Linked DNA regions of Mus musculus. The protein of the gene in region 3 interacts with the protein of the main gene of each other region in a biochemical or structural test. Links are inferred from orthologs where the notes say so. Each region holds a gene or a part of one and is shown on either strand. Other genes may lie near its edges.

Region 1 (8,004 bases), on a different chromosome or scaffold from region 3:
CTTTTATTTCCTTGAAGGAGGGGCAGAGACCACCAGCTCTCACAGGCCATCAGACCCAGGAGGCACTTACTTTGTGTGGTTTTAGGAAGGCTTAAATGCTGGGGATGAGGTGTGCAGTTTATGTGTATTAGTTCTGTAATACGACTTATCCTCAACACTTGTGGTCCCATTTCAGATGAGCTTGGGCACGTTCAGGGTGGGTGGGCAGGCTGTAGACTAGCGATCCCATGTCAGGGACATCGCTTACATGAAGCTAATGGGACTCTGGACACAGGTGACACGTTTAGGAGTGAGGGAGCCAGGGATTATAAGAAAAGGGACGTTTTGAAAACTGCTGTGATCATCCTGTTCCCTCAGGGTCACTACATACGTGAACAGTCTTCAGTTACACGCGAGGTATTCCAACACGGGTGCAGGTGATGAGTTATAACTTTGAGACAGGCTCTCATGCTGTCAGGTTGGTCTGAAACTCACTGTGTAGCCAAAGAATATGGCTTTGAACTTCTCATCCTCCTGCCTCCGCCTTCTGAGTGCTGGGATGACAGGGACAGCAACACCACTGCTGTGGGTGGAAGTTTAATACAGGCAGACCTGTTTTTTTCCCTCTCCTTGATTTACCAGAATGGCAGGAGAGGTCACTGCGAAAAGAAACCCTCTTGGCTACTTGCTGAATTGTTGCTTTGATTGATTTGTGTCTGTAACTTGTCAGGCCAGCCAAGTGTCCTGTGGGAACATGGCCACCGTGAAAAATGCAAGCTAAAAAGAAAACCCATTTGCAAGAATCTGAAAACCACACGCAGGTGTCTAATAAAGACATAGAGGCTTTATTTTAAAACACTCATAGGTTGCAAAAAAAAAAAAAACCCGTAGAAAAATAAAGTTTTGAGTGGAGTACTATACTAAATGCCAAGTGACAGACTTTTCTGTTAGAGCCGGGGTTTGCTAACTGATTGACGAAACAGGACAGAGATATGTCACCCAGGTGATACCCACAGCGATACCTTTCCCATTCACAGGCTGGAGACAACAGGCCACGTTTCTACCAGTTCAGGTGTGGGTGAATGGGTAGTTCCAGTATGGAGAAAGCAAAATTGAGTCAGACTTCCCCAACATAATTTTAAACACAAGCCTTTCCCTTTCTGACTTTGCCACACACTGCACACTATAATAGTTCAAACGTAGTGAAAGTGCACGCTGAAAAAGATTCTAGTCAGAGTGAGAGGAGAGAAAGTACTGATAGGGAACTCAGAGCCAAAAGACGGATAGAAAGAAGAGAACTGGACTCCTCCGGCTTTGGTATGGTCTAACGCTACCACAGTGGTCAGCAACAAGGGACACGGAACAATACTTTAACATGGGGACCCGGGCTGTCAAAGAACAGGGTGCAAGCCGCCAGCTTTCTATCAACTTCCTTTGGCAGTTTTGCCACCAACAGTAAATTGGCCCATTTAAAAGGAGGAAATTAAAAGATTTCTCACTGTATAGCACTGAGTGGTGGGATAAAGGGATTTCCTGGCCCCAGAAAGTCTCATTTGTTATAAGTGTGCTCTACCTCCTTTATCTCCCATTCGGCAGGTTACCTGAGATATCAGGATGGAAAAGGGAAGGTCAACCAATTCTCTTTTTCACTCCTACCACTTTAGGGTAGTTCCTAAGCATAGTTCTCCAAAGCATTTGCGCGTGCATGCGCGCGCGCACACACACACACACACATCTGTGGATGGAAGCCTCGGTGAGGTTGTATTTTGAAGACAGTTTACCTCTCCTTGCTGGTTAGCTTGGGCTGACAGCAGGACCCCTCCATCTCCCCCAGATCCCTCAGCAGTGCCAGCCCTTCCTTTTGTCCTGTTCTTCCTTACACATGAAAAACAAGCACCCCTAAACCACCTCTGCCTACAGGGATCCCCAGGACCCCAATGGGCATCAGCCTTTGAACTGTAACACAGAGCTAGCACACAGCCCTGCGAAAGAACCTGTCATCTTCAGCTCTCATGTCTTTAAATAGGGCTTGGGATTTAATGCTGAGTATTTTTAAAGGAAAGAGAGAGAGGAGTTGCTAGGTTTTTTTTCTCTCTCTAAAGTATGTCATATTTTTAAAGGGAAGAGATGAGTTGCTCATTTTTTTCTTTTAAAAGTATGTCATAATCTGTCTGTAGCTAGTTAAGTTGTTAAACCAAGAAAGGTAAACCTTGGGAGGAGGTGGGAGCAAATCTTACACGAAATAAGACAGGCACAGATGAAAAGCATGAACGGAGAGGTCCTGTAGGAAAGAACAAGAAATAAAAAGGAGGGTTGGAAGGTCCTTTGTTTAAAACTAATGGCACCTCTGTCATCACAAAGTGTGAATTTTCAGGCCAGGGAAGCTGCAGGCCCTCCTGAGTCTAAGCAGGAAGGGCAGGAGAGTCCTTTTCTTCCCTGCTAATATAAAGTCCTGATGGAAGCCGCTCACCTGGCGTGTGGAAACCCCATAGGCCCATGTCTTGGAGAGGAAGTCTGTTTTGCAGCCCACCCCTGCAGGCAAACTGTTTACACAGCTTGTCTTAACCCCCTCCGCGTGTGTACCCTGCCACACTCAGGCTGCCCTGTAAATCCTTGGACTGGCACATCACTGTGAAAAGGGTAAGTTGAAAATTCCACCTTCCACCCCCTTCACGTTCTATGCCAACCTGCCTCAATCACTAAGGGTCACCCCCTCCCACCCCCATTCTTCAAATCTTCCGTTTACCCTCATTTTTACAAGGGCAGAGAGAAACTCTGGCCAGAGTCCAAGGCCAACAGGAGACCCAAGTTTAACTCAAGAGGAAATCCTCATCTAAGGGGCCATCCCTCCCCTTGCTTGGCCCTTCCATGATACTCAGTCATGGGAGAGGATGGAGTTGCCACAACAGAATTCCTAGGAACGATATAGCCATTGCATCTGTAGCCATTCTAAGTTCTGGAAACAAGACTCAAACTTGCCTGGCTCTCTCTAAACAGGGGAGCGGGCAGCAGTCACCTACAGGACACTTGGAACTGGGACTACATCTTCAAATAGTCACTGCCCCAGATCTTTCACCTGCCCACCAGAGAAGAATTGGAGTGTTCCCTGGGAACCCCCAACAGTTTGCATCTGTACATTTCTTGCTTCCGACTCCTTGACATCAGCCACTGTGGCTTTTTCCCAGAGACCCCCAGGGAAGACAGTTTCTGATATATGCAGTTATCAGCAGAACTGTTGCTACCAGAAAGATGGATGCCAGCTGCCCAGACAGTACAGGTAGGGGTAGTAGGGATAGCTAGTATACACGGAGACCAAGGAGGTACTGGGCAGGCTGTCATCTTTCAGGGCTGGCAAAGACAATGGTGAGTTCTTCTCCAAGACTCCCAGGTCTTCCGACAGCTGCTTTCGCTTGGTCTTATAGCGTCTGTTCTGGAACCATATTTTGACTTGGGTTTCGGTGAGTTTGAGGTTCTTGGCCAGGTGAGCCCTCTCAGGGGCAGACAGGTACTTCTGATGGCTGAACTTCCTCTCCAACTCAATCACCTGAGTGTGAGAGAAGGCGGCCCGGGAGCGCTTCTGTGGCTGCTTGGTGACCTGGGGGGCACTTGCTAAGTCCCCTGGATTATGTTCACAGTCCAAAAGATAAGTCTCAAAATGTGCATCTGGAGAAGAACAGAAGGAGAGAGGAAAAGTTACATGTTAGCTCAGAATTCAAACCACCTTTTTGTTTTCTGCTAGTGAACAAAAAGCCCACTGTCATCTGGATACTTTCACTTTGTTTGCAAGACTAAGAAACTACCCTGAAGAAGTGAGCAGGCTTTTTTTATACTATGTATTTGTTTCTAATAATCAGTGTGAACTACATTCAGGTCTTAGCGGTTTACAGTTGATCTTTCTGCCTTGTTGTTTTACATCAGTGAAATGTGGATCCTGGATGTGTGTTGCAAAGAGAGGTGGGTAAGGTGCCAACAGGGAAGACGGAGGCATCGTAGGGACATTGAAGTGGGTGACTGAGATTTGTGGAGATGAGCCAGGTGGCCTGGGATGGTAACCAGTTCATCTCCTGCCCTAGTCCTCTTCCTGTAACTGTGGCTTAGTCACCAGCATGAAAAGTGGTTGGGGCCGGAGGATAAAATTGGACGCGATTCTATTTCTAAAGACTTAAAAGAACATCCATAATTTTATGGCTCGTGGAATGGAGACGAAGGGAACTTAAGAGTGGGCTTGATTTATGAATATTAATGGTTATCGTTAGTTCTAGTAGCCAGTGGTAAATGTCTGCAGCCGCTGGAAAAGAGTCAAGTCGATGGCAAAGTTATTAGTTGCTCTCAGGGTTGATGCTCAAGGTGGCTCGGTGGGGCGGACAGCGAGGTCCTTTCTGTGGCCATGCCCCCACCCCCAACCTCAGGATTCCTGCATCCAGAGCTCGGGGCCATTAGCCCAAGAGCGGTCCTTTCCTGTGCATGGTGCTCGCTTGGTCTACTCCGCTTACCAGACTCGGGTTCAGTCGGTGTCTCCGCGGGGCTATGCCGGATACTTGGTGGGTCCTCCGGAGCCACGCCGCGACCCCCTGCTTTGTCGGGCTCTGGAGCGGAGTCCCTCCTAGGGTCCGGCGAGTGCTGCGGATTGCCTGAGTGTCCCCCGTGCCGCTCCGCGCGGTCCCGCAGGATGTCCTGGATGAGGAAGGAGGTGAGCCGCTTGGACTGCGTGGGTGGCGCTGCCCAAGGACTGCGGCCACCCGCCTCCACCCGTGGCTCTCGGGGCTCCGCTACCCTAAGCATCCCTCCTCCGCTGCGCGCCGCTTTTGCTATCACCGGGCCGCGCGCACTTATAGCCATGCTGAGCGCCGCGCCGCCTGCCCATTGGCCGCGGGGACACGGCTGCTCCCCGATTGGCTGCCGCGGGCTCCAGGTGACCCTCAAGGGGCGAGTCCTGGGCGGATTAGGCTCCAGAGCCCTTCCCTGATGAGCCCTTAACCTTTCCTGGTTTCCCTCTCAAGCCCTTTGCCAGAGAAGCCACAAACGCCAAATTCTTACTGGAATCAGAACTGAGCAGGCAGGTCGCTTCCACCTACCCTAATTGTGTTCAGATAGTAAGAGAGACTGATAACAAAGCCAGATCTACCGAGTCTAAGTTGATCCTAGGTCTGACAATCATGCTCATTATGGTCCCACGCTGGACTCCCAGCTGGACACATCTAGACAACCAGCAGAAGTCTATTAGGGAAGGTCCAAGTAGTATGACAGTGTCTCGTTTACTGAGTTGACCAGGTAGTGTAACACCAGGAAAGAGTATTCTTAAGAAATAAACACTCGCTGGGCAGTGGTGGCGCATGCCTTTAATCCCAGCACTTGGGAGGCAGAGGCAGGTGGATTTCTGAGTCAGCCTGGTCTACAGAGTGAGTTCCAGGACAGCCAGGGCTACACAGAGAAACCCTGTTGAAAGAACGAAAGAAAGAGAGAGAGAGAGAGAGAGAGAGAGAGAGAGAGAGAGAGAGAGAGAGAGAGAGAAGGAAAGAAAGAAAGAAAAGATAAATAAACACTCAAGCTGTGTGTGGGTGACATTTCTTTAATCCCAGTGAAGAGGGGCAGAAGTAGGTGGATTTCTGTGAGTTTGAGGCCAGCCTGGTCTATATAGGGATTTCTTGGACAGCCAGGTCTACATAATGAGGCCCGGTCTTAAACTAACTAACTAACTAACTAACTAACTAACTAACAACTAAACAACTGACAGCACACATGCACAAACCAAACTAATAAAAGAAATGAACACTCTAGCCCAGGCTCCCCATGTCTGTCACTTAAATATCACATGGTTCAGAACAATGCTTTGGATTGCTAAATACGATCTATCTGATCAAAGGAATGTGCTAGAATACAACATTTGGTGGAAACCGAGGAAAGCCTACGCTGATTTTTTTTTTTTAATTAATGGATGCAATTAGAGTCTGTTGTGGTCTAAGGCACCAGGACTCAACTGGAATCTGCTCTGCAGGGAACCTTGTATTTCTGGGGAGAAAGAAAGGGGGGCAGGCCCTTGAGAATACAGCAACTTCGGAGGGAAACTGGGATGGATAACCGGAAGGCCTTCAGAAAAGCTCTCTTCTGCATGTTACCTGGACTTATTTTCCTTTAAAATTTAAATATACATTTTTGATATAGTTACAGGTTCATTGGGAATTGCAAAAATAGCAACTCCAATGTCCCTCATTGTAGTATGTATGTATGTATGTATGTATGTATGTATGTATGCATATAGTGTGTGTGGGGAGTCTTCCTCCAAGGCCCACACATAAATGCCGTTCCCTGCTGAGGTAGTTTGGAGAAGTTTTGGACCTATAAGGGCTGAAGCCTAATGAGAGGTCCTCAAATTGTTGAGGACATAGAGATTGTAGCGCCCCAATTTTCCCCCCTCTCCTGGCCCTGGTGTATGGATTTTCCCACCAGCCTGTGCTCCTCTCATGTTGCACTGCACCCCCCATTAGGCCCCCTAATTTTGGACTTGAAGCTCTAGACTCATAAACTAAAGCAAACATCATTTTACTTAACCAGTCTGTGGCTGGTTCTTGGTGGGAATAACAGATTTAATGCAAGTCTCCTTTCTCTACCCAGTGGTGCAGTGGCTATGCCAGACCACGGGTGATGGGTAGTTCCTTTGGATAACTAACTTGGTCAGAGGATTAGTGAGGCTTACCTGTGGGTGTGCCTGTGAGTGTTTCCAGAGAAGGTTCACTGGGGCAGGCGGGGGCAGGCATCTGCCTTAAATGGGTAGTTTCATTTCAAGGGGGAGAAAGCAAACTGAGTACTGGTGTATCCCCATGTTTCTTGGCTGACTGAAACGACTGACTGAGACGTGACTATACGACTGACTGAGACGTGACTATACAGTCCTGTGCTCCTCTCAAGATGGCAGACTATACCCTCAAACCACCGGCCAAGGTAAACCCTTCCTTCCCTAAATTAATTCTGTTGGATATTTGGTCACAATGGTCAGGAATTAAAAAAAAAAGATAGCTGAGACAAGAGATGCAGAGTGACAGGCCTAGCCGCTCTTCTGTGTGACTGTACTGCTGTTTCCACAGGCAACGAGTGTCAGATATCTGAAACCTTATTAGCCCTGGCCATTCTCTTTATTTCAGCCACTAACATTGGTACAGTGCTATTTCAGTTTGGCTTTAGTTTTTTGAGTTTGCACTTGACTGTTAATGATGTTGATTTTGGCCGGGCACAGGTCTTCATTGATGAGACAGTCCTAGTCTCAAAATAAATCCCAGAGGGCTCAAAGATGTAGATGCAAACAGGCACACAGGAGAATTTCTTTTTAAAAAAAAATCAGGCTCGTGAAAGAAATGCAAATCAAGGGGCTTGAGGGATAGCTCAGTGGAACTAGAGCTCAATTCCCAGGATCAAGCATTACAACTGCCTGAAGTACCAGCCTCAGGGCATCTGATGCCTGACCTCTGACCTCTGCAGGCACAGATATGCAAACACACACATATTTTTAAAAGTAAATAGCATTTTTTAAAAAGAGAAGAAATGCAAATCAAAGCCACATTGAGATACTCCTTTTTTTAAATGTATTTATTTTTTATTAGATACTTTCTTTACTTAACATTTCAAATATTATCCCTTTTCTAGTTTCCCCTCCGAAAATTCCCTATCCCTCCTCCCCCTTTCCCCCTGCTCCTCAACTTACCACTCCTGCTTCCTGGCCCTGGCATTCCCCCACACTGGGGCAGAGAACCTTGGATAGTCATTTCTATGCATCAGATTGGGAAAGATTTTCTTAAGGTGCCATCCAAACAGTGAGTAACTGCTGTGGGCGGAAAATAGGCCGATTTACATATTTGGTCGGTATCTGTTTACATTAAAAATGGACATATCCTTCAACCCAGCTAGTTTGGCTTCTGCCCTGGAAACTCATAAATATACAATGTACTGACTTGGGAACCTGGTTTTGGTCACAGACTGGTTCCAGTTGCAAACTGAGCTGTAGAATCAACTGCGCGTGTAAAAGGGTGACCA
Region 2 (7,880 bases), on a different chromosome or scaffold from region 3:
GATGCCTTGAGCTGATGAGATTTTCTGAGAAGACCAAACTGTTCCGTAATTACACTTGGGTGATAACTGCATGCCTCGGTGAATACACTAACAACTATAGTGGGGAGGTAGGGAACAGGCAGACTGGGCGGCGATGTACTTGCAGAAGACGTCCTGACTTTAGCAGCAAAGATGGACCCATTTAAATTTTGTATTTTGTATTCTAGACGGAAGCCTTGTAAACGTTCCTCTACCCTACTAACCTAAGGATCAGGGCTACAAACCAATACCTCCAGAGCAGATTAATCAGCTCTTCATAAAAAGCCAAGTCCAAAGGGAAATCTATTATTACTTTAGGATACACTCAACTTTTCCTTTTTTGATCTTCCAATCTGCTGATTCTAACAAAGATTAAAATCCCCTTTATACCATAATTTTGGGGAAATTTCTGGTAACAGGGTCAACATATCTAGGGAAAATAAATGGAGATCATGAACTTCAGAATTTTCTCCCCCCCACCCCCTTCCAAGTCAAGGCTTTCTACAAAAGTCAGCTTCTAAAGCACTCCTTAGATTATCACTGGACACAGAACTCAATCATCTGACTGCACTTTAATGCAGCACTACTGAAAATAATACTGAGAATTGCCACTTTTGGGGGGTGGGGTCAAGAATAAAGTCTCCCCGTAGCCTGGCTGGCCTGCACCTCATGGATCTGCCTGCCCCCACCTCCTGTGTGCTAGGATTAAAGGCATGGACACCACATCCAACTAGAATCAATACTTCTTACTTTGGATCTCCACAAAGATCAAGCTGGGACAAACTTGAAAGTTACTTCTCAAATATTCTCAACTCTAAAATCGGCGTAGTTTGAAAATGCTTGACCCAGGGTACTACTAGGAGGGGTTACACCCTTGTTGGAGGAAACTTGTTACTGTCGGGGTAGGCTATGATAACCTCCTCCTAGCCACCTGGACCAGTCTACTTCTGGCTTCCTTTGGATGAAGATGTACAACTCTCAGCTCTGCCTGCATCATGCCTGCCTAGACGATAATGGACTGAACCTCTGAACCTATAAGCCAGCTCCCATTAAATGTTGTCCTTATTAAGAGTTGCCGTGGTCATGGTGTCTCTTCACAGCAGTAAAACCTTAACTAAGACAGAATACCAATAGTCTTTTGAAAAGGGGGAAAAAAAAGTTGTGTGAAGGGATACAATTTGAATAAGCAAACACTTGGTGCAGGGTTTGATGATGAGAGTTCAACATAGTTGCTTAAGTTATGGAAAAGTTTGATATTGGTAGTGATCATCACCCACACCTCTGACAGTTTCCAAAGATGATAACAATTATATTTAACATATCTAAGCAAAGCAGCTAACAACATCCACAAATAGATAAAACAGAATGACTGGTAAAAAGCAATCTGCATTCTACTTGTAAATCTGAATAGTTTAAAATTTGTTAAGTCCTAAATGACCAAATTTAATTTCTTCTTTTTTTAGTGAGGCTAGACAGAGTTTCTCTGTGGAGCCCTGGCTGTCCTGGAACTCACTCTGTACACTAAGCTGGCCTTGAACTCAGAGCTCTGCCTGCCTCTGCCTCTGCTGGGATTAAAGGTATGCACCACCACTGTCCAGATTGAATTTCAATTCTGGTAATAATAAAATTTAATTGGGACCAGGCACCCTGGAATATTCCTGCATTCCCAGAAGACTGGAATATGAAGGCAAGACGGTGAGAAGACCAAGGTCATCCTTTGCAAAGTAGGGAACTCCAGACCACTCTTGGCTACAAAAGTCCCTGCCCCAAAATAAAAGGGGTGAGGGTTGCTTGGAAGCTAGCCCCGTGAAAGCCTCTCCTTCTAGATACGCATTGAGTGTGACTGACTGAAGAGCCCTGCACTTTGCATTCCATCTATTTCCAAACCCTCAAATCCTCTCAAACGAAACACTCTACCCTGTACTAGCTCAACTCTTAAGACACATACGTTTTTTCCTTCTTTCTCCACTTTAACATAGGACGGTGCCCAGTAGAACTGCTGCTTCCCAGTTCCGGTCTTAATCTCCGTGCCTTCAATCCCGTAACTGCCCCTCTCCAGTCTACCAATCAGAATCAGCAGCCCATGAGCAAAGGGCACTAACTAGATGTGTAATAAAGTCACAAGGCATACAAGCCCTGCCCACAATGTGTAGCACTGCACAACTCCTCTAGCCTTAACAGCTTCCTTAGTCCAAAACTACTGTCTCGGATGGAAAGACAACCACACCATGCATGTTACATAAACACGACCAACTGAAATGCTGATCCCATTTCACAGACAGGGTCCAGGGCTGGGGACCTACCAAGGTCACACTTCCTAACAGTGGCAACTGTTTTGCGCCGACACACAGCTCTATCCCGTATTCAGTTGCGCTCCAGCCCTTCAGGCAGTGCAGGGAGACACTCCCCTCGCTTGCCCACCGGTGCCGATCCACAGGTGCCCTGCAGCGTGGCGACCCCAGCCCTTGGGAGCTCCGGGTGGAAGAAGGCCCAGACCACAGGGCTGCTCCAGGGCCTACTGGAACCCCTCACCCATTGTTCCCGGCCGACTCACCTCCGAGGACGCGGTGGCAGGAACCGCTGGGCCGTTGGAAGCCAGCTCCCGCCGGCTCAGTAAGCTCGGCCGGTGGCGGCAGGATCCGCGAAGGCGTACCCGGCGGCTTCGGCGCCTCCCCTCCTCGGCAGGCACCAGAGGGGGCGCTTCACCCTCCTCGCGAGACAGCGGAGACCCCGGTGGCGGCGGCTGCGACCCCTATGACGTAGAACGTTCATCACCCACAGGCAGTTTGGAGGCGGAGAGAAGGCGAGACCAACCCCCCGAGCCCGCGCAGCAAAACACCGCTCCTCCACCCCCTTCCCCCGAGCTCTGGGCGCATGCGCCAAACCGCTGCCGCACGCAGGAGGCGGGACGTTACGGCACAGACCCCGGACCCTGCCCTGCCCCCACCGCGGGGGGGCACAGCACAAACTCCACAATCACAACCAAATATGCAGAAAGGCTGCCTCAGTATCAGTGGAACCTCACAAACTTCAACAAGTTGTTAGGATTCTCTATGGTGCCACGGGAACTGGACTGAGCTCCCAGAGCACCCTGGTCCTTCCGTCTATTTCAGCTGGGTTGACCATCAGGCATTTCTTTTACCCCGCCATAACTCCCTGCGGCCCGCTTCCCTCTTTCCACTCTCGGAAATCTACACTAAAAATGTATCTGACACATCTGCGCCCAAAGCCGAGCGGCCCAGCCTCTGCCGGCCAGGCTTCCACTCTGCACACCACCAGCATCCTGATAGTTGGCCTGCCAAGCTGCCTTTCTCGGGACTTAGTATTTCAAACTTGCTGCAGTCCCAAGCATTCGACAAACTGCCCGTCAACACTTGTTGGCCGGCAGATCCACCATGCGGGCTACCTGTACAACATATTTGAAAAGATTTCCAGCCATCAGCGATAATATTCTGTTTGTTCTTGGTGAACGGCTCAACTAACAGTTCCCAACGATGTTTTTGTTACGTAAAAGATGTTTAAGTCAAGCATAAACATATGAAGGTCTATCCGCATTTGGTGGAAACCGATGTGGGTGTGGGACGGCAACTTTGATTCTTCCACCGTGGACTATTTTCCAATAAACTTTTATATGCACACGATGGCACACTATCTTGTATTAATACCGCACTGCAAATGCAGGATAAAGCAGTTAAGGAATTCCTATGTGAGCGCAAAAAAGGCGCGATCTTCACATTTTCTCTTTTATTCCCTCTGCTGCCTGAAAGGCGGGCTAGGCCCGGATCACGTGATGTGTTCCAACTCCGGGCGGAAGCCCGCGGGAGCGCGCAGAGTCCCGCTGAAAAATGGCTGCTGCATCGGGGTGCAATGCGCCCGCGAGCAGGCTGTAGGGCCCTTGCCACCCCGTCCCCGCTGCTCCCTTACCATGAGGCCGATGAGTCGCCGAAGCCTGGACTGGACTTACTCCCTGGTAGGTACCGAGCAGAGCGGAGCTCCAGAGCGCACCATGGCAGGGCCCGCGAGCCGAAGGTAGACTGTTGGCTCGCAGCTTGGAACTCCAGAACCCATTCCTAAATTGAGCGTTCACGCCCTGCCCTCGGCTCCGCCTCTTCCTGGAGGACACGCTTTTCCGCCTCTGACGTCAGGGGTTGCAGGCCTGCTTGCCTCTGGGCTGCACTGTGTTAGAGGCATGTGATGCCTTTCCACCTGTAGCTGCTTGCTCGGGCTACACAGGGAAAGGACCCGGCACATTGATTTCTTCTTTTTGCTTTTCCTCCCCTCCTTTTAGTTGCTCCTTGCAATCGTCTTGCTCTCTTGGGGATTCGTCATCTATGCATCGACTGTAGCTGCACGACGACAACTACAGAAGGAGTTTCCAGACAAGTTCTTCTGAACGAACTTTTGTAATTCTTAGCAAACACTTCTTTTCTTCAGATGGCACCTATGTAGACTCAAAGTAAAATTCACAATACAAATTTGCGTGTGGCCTTTTGTGATAAGCGTTAACATGCCAATTTTTCAAAATGATCGGACAACACCCCCCCCCCCCTTTTTTTTTTTTCGAGACAGGGTTTCTCTGTATAGCCCTGGCTGTCCTGGAACTCACTTTGTAGACCAGGCTGACCTTGAACTCAGAAATCCGCCTGCCTCTGCCTCCCGAGTGCTGGGAGTAAAGGCGTGCGCCCCCACGCCCGGCTCTATTTTGTATCAGGTCATAGCTTTTCATTCTAGTGCTCAAACACTTCACATCCTCATGTCAAATCAGTATGTAAACAACACTGTGACTAAAATGTGTTTTGCATCCTGTTTATCAAAATGGACAGAAAAAAGTAGCTAATAGCTCTGTTTAGTATTTGTCTTTTTACTGTTAGTCTCAAATCATAGAACCTTTGGACAGTAACACGGACAGTGATAACACTCTGAGAATAAGCTTTATTAATTACTTTTCCAGGAAACAGATTCAGTAAATACAGCACTTTAGGAACATACTTGTGCTGTTACACAAGTCTGTTAAGTTTTTAAGGACTCTTCAATGATGTTGATCAGGAAAATCTCTCATTGGTGGAATTACTTCTCCAGTCTCCAGAATTGTATCACCCTAGGGAAAACAGGAAGTGTTTAATAGAGATTTTTCACCAAATATACATTTCATTGTAAATATTCCAACATTTGCTCAACACAATAAATGACTATAAAGATACTTTCTTTACATTTGTTAAATTTAAGCCAGGTCTGATGGTGAATTAATCCCAGTGCTCTAGAGGTAGAGGCAGGCAGATCTCTAGTTTGAAGCTAGCTGGTCTACATAGCAAGTTTCAGGGCAGACAAGACTACATAGATCGACCCTGTCTTAAAACAAACAAAAAAACAACAAAAAGAATCCCCAAAAAAGGCCATTAAAATTATTTTGCATTTTACCTAAAACATTTCAATTTAGGTGCTAATTTTTTACTTGTACTGATTTGTAAATGAAGCTAAAAAAGATTAATCAAACTATTACATGAGGACTTAAAAATTAAAAGGCATACTAAAGTGCATATTTAGACGGTAGACTGTAGTTCTGAAGCATGGATATACTTGTGAGACTATCTATCTCCACAATCAAGGTAATGACATCCTTCTGATTACAAGATTTAGTATTTTATTCCTTCAATCTATTGTCTCAACATCCACCTCCAAGTTTCAAAAATACTGTGCATAGATGGTCACTCTATGCTAGTCCATGTTCAGGCACTGCATGAAAAAGCTAGTTATGCTCTATTATTCATTTTAATAAGGGCTGGGACAAACAGACTGGGAGGACAGCCTGACTCATACTAGTCTATCCTATCAGGAAGAAGGAAACTTGTTCTGTTAAGCCAGAGACTTGGAACCCTGTCATGGCCTGGTCTATTCTAGAGGACACAGACGGTCTTCAGTTTCTCAAAAGAGAGACTCTGGGGCTGGTGAGATGGCTCAGTGGGTAAGAGCACCCGACTGCTCTCCCGAAGGTCAGGAGTTCAAATCCCAGCAACCACATGGTGGCTCACAACCATCTGTAACAAGATCTGACGCCCTCTTCTGGAGTGTCTGAAGACAGCTACAGTGTACTTACATATAATAAATAAATAAATCTAAAAAAAAAAAAAAGAGAGAGACTCTGGAACTGGTCAACAACACAGACACAGAACAGGACAGCTGTAGCAAAAGAGGACATTCAGAAAATAAAGAAATGCTACGAAACCACTGACATGGCTTTGTAAACAGAGCCTGTCTTCTCCTTTGACCATGAATGGCATCATAAACATATAATTAAATAATCAGGCAAGCAAAGAATAAATAAATATTAGTCAGCTAACAAAACCATCAAGTTAATGCCCAACTTTGAGGCTGCCTGGGGTCTGACATACACTGATTACAGGACATTTCTTGTTAGTTTGTAAAGCAGAGTTCCAGGGTGGACTGTTAGCCAAATTTGATGGTTCTCCCTAAAAGTCTCCTTTTGCGGCTCTTAACAGATAACTGTAACATATGCTACTTAATTTAAGTTTCAATTTACCATTATGGAGGCTCATTCATTACTCACATAGTAGCAGTCATTTATTGCGTTGAACAACTTGAGTACTAGTATTAAAGGCATGAGGGAATTTTTTAAATTACTTTTAGAGCTTACATCTTTGTAACATAAAATTGAAATTGACACAAATGTGTCTTAACTTCACAGATTGAGAACTATAAGCATAAAGCCAAAGAAGTTAGAATCTGGGAATGACAGAACCTCAGCTGTTAGCTGCCTGTACATCTATCTCTTCAGGCTCGTGCTGTAATTCTTGACCCCTGAGAAACCTGGTGGTGCCTCCTACTGTAGGGCAGTCAAGGTCATCAAACAAGGTGGAGACATACAGTATCCGCTCCTCATTTTCCACCATCACACCAGCCCTCCTCCCTTCCTCCTATGATACACAAACTGCATTTAAGCTGACAGTAAGAAAAGACCATTTTATTGTGATGAACTTGGCAATCACTTGTAGAAGTGGGGAGGGATAACATACAAGCAAAAAACTGGAATTTTGAGACTTACTGGAAATATCCTGGGCTTCGAGCTAACAATGGTGTATGGTTTAGTCTGCAATAAAAATAAATCTGTGTAAGTTACAGGGTTAGAAATTTTCTGAAAATATGGTAGATCTTTCCCAAATATTTTTATTTAAGTCTCCAATTTTCCCAGAACTCTGGGCGCATATTAATTAAACACCTCCACTTAGCTGTCAGAGCTCCAACTTGTGCACTCAACAACACAGCATCATATTCCAAAATGGATCAGATTTCTGCTCAAAGTTTCACAACCCTCAAAAGAAAAAAGATGGAGTCCTTGCTGTGACCTCTAAAACCCAGCAGGATTCACACCTAGAAAATCATTTGACTTTCTACACTCCCTCCCTTATTGTCCCTTAGTCACAATGGCTCCTTAGCTAATAGTCCAATCAATAAAGCCTAGGATGTCCCAGGGCTTTTGTGCTTCCTCTACCTGAAATATACTCCTGGTTATCTAGTTTTTCCCTCTTCTCATTCCAATTAGGTACCTTTTACTATCACCTCTGCAGAGAGGTCCAATTAAACCAGCAGCTCCCGGTCATGCTCTATTCTTTCACCATGCTCAATCTCTTTTAGAGAACTGAACACCTCTTATAACAACATATGTCTCTTATTCATGTGCTTACTGCCAGTCTCCAAGACTAGAATAAGCCTTTCACGAAGCAGGGACACAATCTGTCTGCTGTGTATACTGCTGTACCCACGTTTACAGTGCTTTGCATACAGAAAGAGGCATTTAATATATAAATTTGGATAAACTCATAAAGCATGTATGTCTACATAAGATA
Region 3 (7,207 bases):
CCCAGACCTTTATACTGCTTTTCTTATTCCCTGTCTCCCACTTACTAGGCAGATGTAGCAAATGCTGCAGCTGTGCTAGAAGAAATGACTACAGGAGAATGAGATGAAGGGATCCTAAGCTATACTGCAGGGGCTGCAGAGAAGGCTCAGTGGTTAAAAAATACTTGCTGCTCATGCAGAGAACCTGGGTTTGGTTTCATCTATTACTCTAGTTCTAGGGATCTGACTTTCTTTCTTTTTTGTGGAGGGGTAGGAGTGGGGATGGGGTGTTCTTTTAAGACAGGGTCCTTGAACTTGCTCTATAGACCAGGCTAGCTTCAAACTCAAGAGATTTGTTTGCCTCTGCTTCCAAGTGCTGGGCTGCCACCAACACATCCAGGCTTTTTAGCCACTGTTTAAACCAATCCTAATTACTGATCTCCAGCATACCATCTCTGGCTCGTCTAAGAGCATTTGATACATTTATAGAAGGCAGTGGAAATTCAAGTGGCAGGAGCAGAAGGGTTGCCTACAGCCTCAGCTGTGGGTAGGCTGAAGCAGAAGGTTCACTAGCTTGGATCACATGATGAATGTGCCCAGCCTTTAGCTACAGTGTGAGAGTTTGTTTTAAATGGAGAGGAAAAGAAGTTCTAAGGTCCCAGAGGTAATTATTACATACTATTATGAAGACCAAAAAGAAAAAAAGAAAAAGATTTACTACTACATTTTTCTGGTAACCATGACAACTCTATTCTCCCCAATTTAACACCACTGCCTATACCCTCTGAGCTTGTAAGTAACACAGATAAAACATAAAAATTTTTAGACCAGATGCAAAGCTCTTGTTAGTATTCTATGAGATTAATCTAGAGTTTGCAGCAGCAGTGGGAAGAAAGGCCTTGGTTTTGCTTAGACAGCAAAGCCTCTTCAAGAGGTTGGCGGGAAAGAATGAAGAGAAGGAAACTGGCACCATCCCAAGGACAACCATACAGAGTATTACTTACGGGCTGTGAGCTCTTTAAGCTGCTGCTGTAGTGTGATGGAGGCATTGTAGGTACGGAACACCTTGGCAGTCAAGCCCTCCATGAGATCCTGAAGATGTTTATTTAGAATACCAGTCTGCATTAAACACGACAACAAAGAGGATATTGGAACTGAGGTAAACACCAAATCACCCTTTCCCTTACAGTGAATACTAGGAGTCCTTGTGCCAGTGCTGCCACCATCCTGCCAGTTACTGTCCTGTCCTTCACAGAGGAAGTTAGCAAAGAGGGAAAATAATTCCAGAATACAGGAAGGATTGCATAGTGCCTTTCTATAAAGTACTTTAATCTTAAGTTCAAGACAACAAATTTTTTCTTTCTTATAAATATCTCTCCCAGTAAAGAAAGCAAGTGAAAGCCTTAGGTCTGTAGCAAAGGCAGCTGGGCGTCTCATGAAAGCATGAAAGGATGAAAGGAAGAGGGAAGATCCATGGAAAGCTCAGCTCCCTCTGCCTTGCAGCTTTGGTAGGAATCCACAGCACCACCCACAGGGTGGGAGGAGGGAGGGTCTGCTGCTGGTTACAGATGACTGAGTGCCCCAAGGGAGGAGGGATATGTAGAATGTCACTGGACAATCTAGACTGAATGGACAGTCCAAATACCCTTTGACAACTCTTGACCCCAGGAGCTTGAGATTGCCTTGGACTTTAGCCTAGTGTCCTGTGTTTACTCACATTAAGTCGATCAAAAAGATCGTCCTCAGGCTGCTTGTTCTCCATAAACAGTTGTAAGTTTTTAAAAACCTAAAACAAGTCCAATTATTATTTTAAAATTTTTTAGAAATAATTTCAAACTCACAATAACTTTCAAAAAAGAGAAAAGGTAGAAAGACAACCTATATATATTATACCCAAATTCTTGTTCTGCATGTGTAAATTTACATAAATACCTAAGTATCAGTTCTCAGCCATTTGTGGTATATATTGTAACTCAAATAGGATGTTTGTTAGCATCAAACATCCTGGCATCTACTTCCTAAGAACAAAAACACTCCCTTATAGCCAACCTATGCTTACCCTAGTTACTCGATTGAACTGGCACCCACTGTTATCGAATGGGCGAAAGTAGTAGGTACCTATGTCTATCTCATGGGTCTACAGAGATGAGCTCAGAGACTGAGAACTGAAAGATTACCATTTTATTCAGTTGGGGCTTGGACTGGGGCTAAGAAAAACCACAAGATAACAAGTGATCAGCAGATGCTGTGATGCTTAAATCACTAAAGCGGCTGTGTTCAATCTTAACATTGAGTTTGCTATAAAGGCTAACTCTCTGCAGACTCTGTTATAAACTGCTTCCAGAGATGGCCACAGGTTCCCAGCAATGTAGCAGAGGTTGCAGGGCAGGCATGAAATGAGGCACACCATATACCAAATATTATCTCTTTTCTTTCTTTGAGATCAATTTTACTAGAGCTCATCAAAATGCAGAACATGCAAAAGCCCTCAAAAAATATTTGCTGAATAAACAAACATGTAAAAAGAGCAAGCTAGAGAAAGAAGCACAGGCCACATGAACTTACTCGTTTCTCAACTGGGACTTTGTTATAGTATCTGATTGAGTCCTTCCCAGGAAAGTCAAATTCCACCACATACTCCTGACCATCCAATTCTGGGTGTAAATTGATGTGTTCCACTCTAAGTGAACAGCAGCCCACAGTGTCTGCCGTCTCTCCTTCTTCCTTCTCATTGCCTGCTCTCAGAGCAAGCTGTGCAAGAAAGGGAACAGAGTTGTTCAGAAAGAGATGAGTGAAGAAACATAGACCACATATAATCTCAATGACACTCTAAACCAGAAGCCCCCAATTTTGTAGATGGAATGAACATCAGTCTACATAACTTAGAAACTCAACTCATAAGAAAGTCACAGGGCTAGAGAGATGGCTCAGCTGTTAAGAGCCCAGCAACCACATGGTAACTTGCAACCATCTGTAATAAGATCTGACATCCTCTTCAGGTCTGAAGACAGCTACAGTGTACTTAAATATAGTAACAAATAAAAGAGTAAGAGAGAGAGAGAGAGAGAGAGAGAGACAGAGAGAGAAAGGGAGAGAAGGAGGAGGAGGAGGAGGAGGAGGGAGGGAGGGAGAGAGGGAGGTAAGAAGGGAAGGAGGGAAGGAAGGTAGGTAGGTAGGTAGGTAGGTAGGTAGGTCAGTCACAGAATACCCAGAGACCCAAGTTTCTCTACTCCATCCTTAGAGTAGAGATAGAAGAAGAAAAAAATTAAAACAAGGCAACAAATGAGACCATATTTTCATGAGAACAGTCAGATTAAAAACTTATCAATTTTGTGTGAATTCAGAATTTGGGCTAAAATTTAAGTGTAAAATGAAGAAAAAAATCTGAGCACTAAAAAAACTATCTTTCAAACTGCAATTATCATAAATCACACTTTTTTAAGAATTGTATAGGTTATAATTGTCATTTTCTAAAAGAATGAAATGAGAAATAACCACCAGAATTCAATGCTACTAGTTAACCAGTGGTTTGTGCAACTTTCGATTTAATTTCACATAAATAAAACTGTTATGTTGGATTTTGACATAAAGTAAGTACTTTTGCAGATTATGGTCAAAAATCTTGAGCATCACAGTTATTAAAAAAACAAACAGCCGGGCAGTGGTGGCACACGCCTTTAATCCCAGCACTTGGGAGGCAGAGGCAGGAAGATTTCTGAGTTTGAGCCCAGCCTCGTCTACAAAGTGAGTTCCAGGACAGCCAGGGCTACACAGAGAAACCTTGTCTCGAAAAACCAAAAACAAGCAAACAAACAAACTAACTAATAATGTTCAGTTTATGCAGATCCTCTTGTTATAGAGACTGCTCAATAGCCAACATACTGTACATGCCTCTTTCTTTGTATCCACATCTACTCTTCCTACTTAAGTAAATTTGGATTATAAGTCACACAGCAGATATACATTCCTGATCCCTATACTGTAGACATTCCCTATACCTGTAAACAGAACTGTCCAATGTGGATAAAGGAACATGTCCCCACCTTATCAATGAAGTACAGTGCTACAGCTCTCTGACGAACTTTCATCTCTTTGGACTTCCAGTCTTCCCGATACTGATTTCGGATCTTGTCCACACACTTCTTCAGACGCCGCGCAGTCTCATACTTCTGCCAGTCTTTCTCACCCTGCAGTGGAGCAACACATTGAATATTTAGAGCTCTGAACCCCAAAACAGGAACCTGATTTTAACCAAAGCTGGAAAAGCATAGAACTGAAGAGAAAGTCTGGGGCATGTAACATGACAAGAATACTTGCTATTCTACTGACTCCGTCCTGTATAATTGCTAAGAAAGCTTTCCTATCTAAAAAATGGTTCCCACTCTTGTGAGATCCACCAAGCATGCCCCCAAACTGACTTCTGTCAACATAAAGGATGTAAGCATCTCCATTGCTTCAGAAGCACCACAGCCTTGCTGTGGAATGCATGCTCCAGTTCTCTGCTAGCACTGAATTCCATTAAATTCAAGACAGCCATAGCGGTTTCAGGGACCTATCAAAGAAACAGAACCCAAGACAACAACATGTAATTACCAAGGAAGACAAAAGCTTCCATGAATAGGCGTAATTATTCACCATTTTCTCACTTCTGCATTTAAAATGGTCTCTGATTTGACTGAGAAAAAAAATGTTTCTGGGAACACCTTCCTTCTTTCTTTGGTTTTTCAAGACAGGGTTTCTCTATATAGCCCTAACTGTCCTAGAGCTAGCTCCATAGATTTAGCTTCCTTGAACTCAGAGATCTGCTGGCCTCTGCCTCCAAATGTTAGGATTAAAGGTGTACACCAACCACGACTACCTGGCTTCTTTAAAAACATAACAAAAGAGCTTTTGGCATAAAGTTTGAGATCTGATCCTAAAGCCCATGAAAATGTCACACGTGCTTGGTAATATAAACCTATCTGAGAACCTATAGCTGGGGAACTCACAGGTCTGATGGGTTAAGAAAAGCACTGATGAGACTTTGCTAAATGGACATGGCACCAGGCTGCTTTCTAAACACATATCTGTACACCCCCAGACTTGGTCCTCATCAGAAGAGTTGTGCAATGGATTTGGTTAATACCAGGGCTGCGACTGGTCAAATTACAGAGAACAGAATGTCTGTGAAATATTCAGGCATGAATTGAACCCCTACATCACACACTCTGACCTCAAAATTCAGGAAGCATCGGAAAAGGTGATGGAAAGACTTAAAGAGGTACAAACTTGACTGGGGCCAAGGTGTCTTCTAAACATGGTAGGGCCACACTGCACTCAGGAACTGCTCTGGTTGCTTGCACAGTATCAACATTCCATCATGAAATGGGGAGGGATACATAAACCCCAACTCCTAGCTGAGGAGCTATTGACATTTGATAGCTGCTAGTGTGTATTTGTAGTGGTCTCTTTTGAGGTGTGATACCTGGTAGCTTTCCCACACCCCATTGGACAGCCCCTATGTATGCATATATGGACACCACTATTTCAACTGAGTCACAGTTGAGAGAATGATGTGTGTAGGGAATCTGGTAGTAGTTGGGAAGTGTGGAGTTGTACATTATGTAAAATATATAAATACTAAATAAAAAATATTATAAAAAAAATAAAGACTGATATTAAACAACAAAAGATTTCTGTTACCACCCTGAGTAGAAAAGGACTTGAAAGCAAGGATCAATAATGTCAAGTGAGAAAGATCAGGAAAATTCCACAAGGCAGAATTTTACAAGGTGAAAATCCCCTAAGAATCTGGGGTTAGAGATGGCTTATCAATTGAGAGCCCATGCTGCTCTCTTCCAGAAGACTTGTGCTCAATACGCATATCAGAGGTGACCTGTGACTCCAGCTCCAGAGGAATCTAATGCCTCCCACACTGCAGGACTCAAACGCACATGCCCCTACACAGACATGAGATTTAAAGATCCTACAACAAAGAGGAGATGGTAGTGATTTCTTTTTGTATATTGTTTTCCACCTAAGACAAAAGGACCTAACCCATAGGACCACATGAAAGCATGGGGGTGCATGGAATAAAAAGGCTTACTTCCAGATCTTAACAAATGCTCAGAAAGTAATGCTTTTTTGGATGTGCTAGGGAGTCGTCAACATTTCCTCACAACTGAGTGTGTACTATTTGTATGGGCTTGTTTGGCTTTTAAACAAGGGGTTCAATAACTTTCAGGAAGCTGAAAATTTCTCTCTGATTTCTCTAAGTCCAACTTGACATTAAGAGAATAAATTAGAAAATGTACAATACAAGCTATCCTCCTGGTACAAAGCTACAAAGCAAGGTGTACCTCTACCACAATTTCTTACATAAACCACCACCAAGACACCTGAGAGACTCACTAAAATACACTATCTAGCCAGGAGTGGACTCTTTTCACCACTACAAAACACATAAGCATTGGTTGTGGTCAGGCAGACAAAGTTTGAGAAAGTCAAGTAAGTAATTTATAGAAGAAACCACTAAAGAGTGTTTCCTTGACATGATTGGCCTCCTGGAACAAATCAAAGTTTTCTCTAGAACACTAGGATGAGGATCAAGAAGAGGAGACATCCTGTGAAGGGCTAGCAGGCAAGGGCTAGTTCCCAAATACGCTTATCCTGGTGGCTTACAGCGCTGCTGATCAGAACCTATAAAATGATAATAGACTCAAAACCCTTTAGGACTGCTTCTAAAAAATACCCACCTAGGTCTTCCAGGGAGTCACATCAAAGCCATCATAAAAAGTACCTTCCTGACACTGGCAGAAATGTGCTCCCTCAAATTCTATTACTACATCAGCACATTACTAGTATGGAGTAGAAAATCAGTTTGGTAAAACAAAGGTAGATATTGTAGGAGTCTCTGACTCCTTTTCCTCTTTCCCTAGTTGGCAACTTCTCCATAATGGAGAAAAAACTAGTTAGTGATAGTTATAAACCAGTGGCCACCATACTTCTTTTAAATGTAGATACTTATCCACTCAATAATATAGGCAGAACAGGAAGTGAGTCATTTGCTTTTAACTCTTCACAGGACCTGTACTGAGGAAGATGCCATTTGCTAATATACTTTGAGTTTGTGAGTAAGACAAACTCAAGCTGGTTGCTCAGAGGCTTGTACCTGAAATAGGGTCTCTCACTGGCCCAGAACTCACCACTTAGGTCAGACTGTTGGACAAGCCAGGCCCAGGGATCCCTT

Evidence for each region.
Region 1: the proteins of Top1 (region 3) and Nkx3-1 form a complex in vitro, tested with the Homo sapiens proteins (2 studies listed by BioGRID and IntAct). The link is inferred for Mus musculus from reciprocal best matches to the Homo sapiens genes TOP1 and NKX3-1.
Region 2: of the proteins of Top1 (region 3) and Topors, one has a biochemical effect on the other in vitro, tested with the Homo sapiens proteins (2 studies listed by BioGRID). The link is inferred for Mus musculus from reciprocal best matches to the Homo sapiens genes TOP1 and TOPORS.

The regions. Positions count from the first base shown.
Region 1 is NC_000080.6:69,187,462-69,195,465, reverse strand, and holds Nkx3-1 (homeobox protein Nkx-3.1), read right to left. Parts: upstream 4,775-8,004; 5' UTR 4,762-4,774; coding exon 4,473-4,761; intron 3,643-4,472; coding exon 3,218-3,642; 3' UTR 808-3,217; downstream 1-807.
Region 2 is NC_000070.6:40,265,732-40,273,611, forward strand, and holds the start of Topors (E3 ubiquitin-protein ligase Topors), read right to left. Parts: upstream 4,111-7,880; 5' UTR 3,989-4,110; coding exon of another isoform or gene 3,946-3,988; coding exon 3,943-3,945; exon of another isoform or gene 3,848-3,942; intron 2,771-3,847; coding exon 2,573-2,770; intron 1-2,572. Other genes in the region: Smim27 (small integral membrane protein 27), read left to right, coding at 3,944-3,988, 4,307-4,411; Ndufb6 (NADH dehydrogenase [ubiquinone] 1 beta subcomplex subunit 6), read right to left, coding at 5,048-5,116, 7,079-7,123. UniProt on the Homo sapiens protein: Functions as an E3 ubiquitin-protein ligase and as an E3 SUMO1-protein ligase. Probable tumor suppressor involved in cell growth, cell proliferation and apoptosis that regulates p53/TP53 stability through ubiquitin-dependent degradation.
Region 3 is NC_000068.7:160,709,604-160,716,810, reverse strand, and holds part of Top1 (DNA topoisomerase 1), read right to left. Parts: intron 4,167-7,207; coding exon 4,023-4,166; intron 2,731-4,022; coding exon 2,545-2,730; intron 1,766-2,544; coding exon 1,697-1,765; intron 1,099-1,696; coding exon 984-1,098; intron 1-983. UniProt on the Homo sapiens protein: Releases the supercoiling and torsional tension of DNA introduced during the DNA replication and transcription by transiently cleaving and rejoining one strand of the DNA duplex.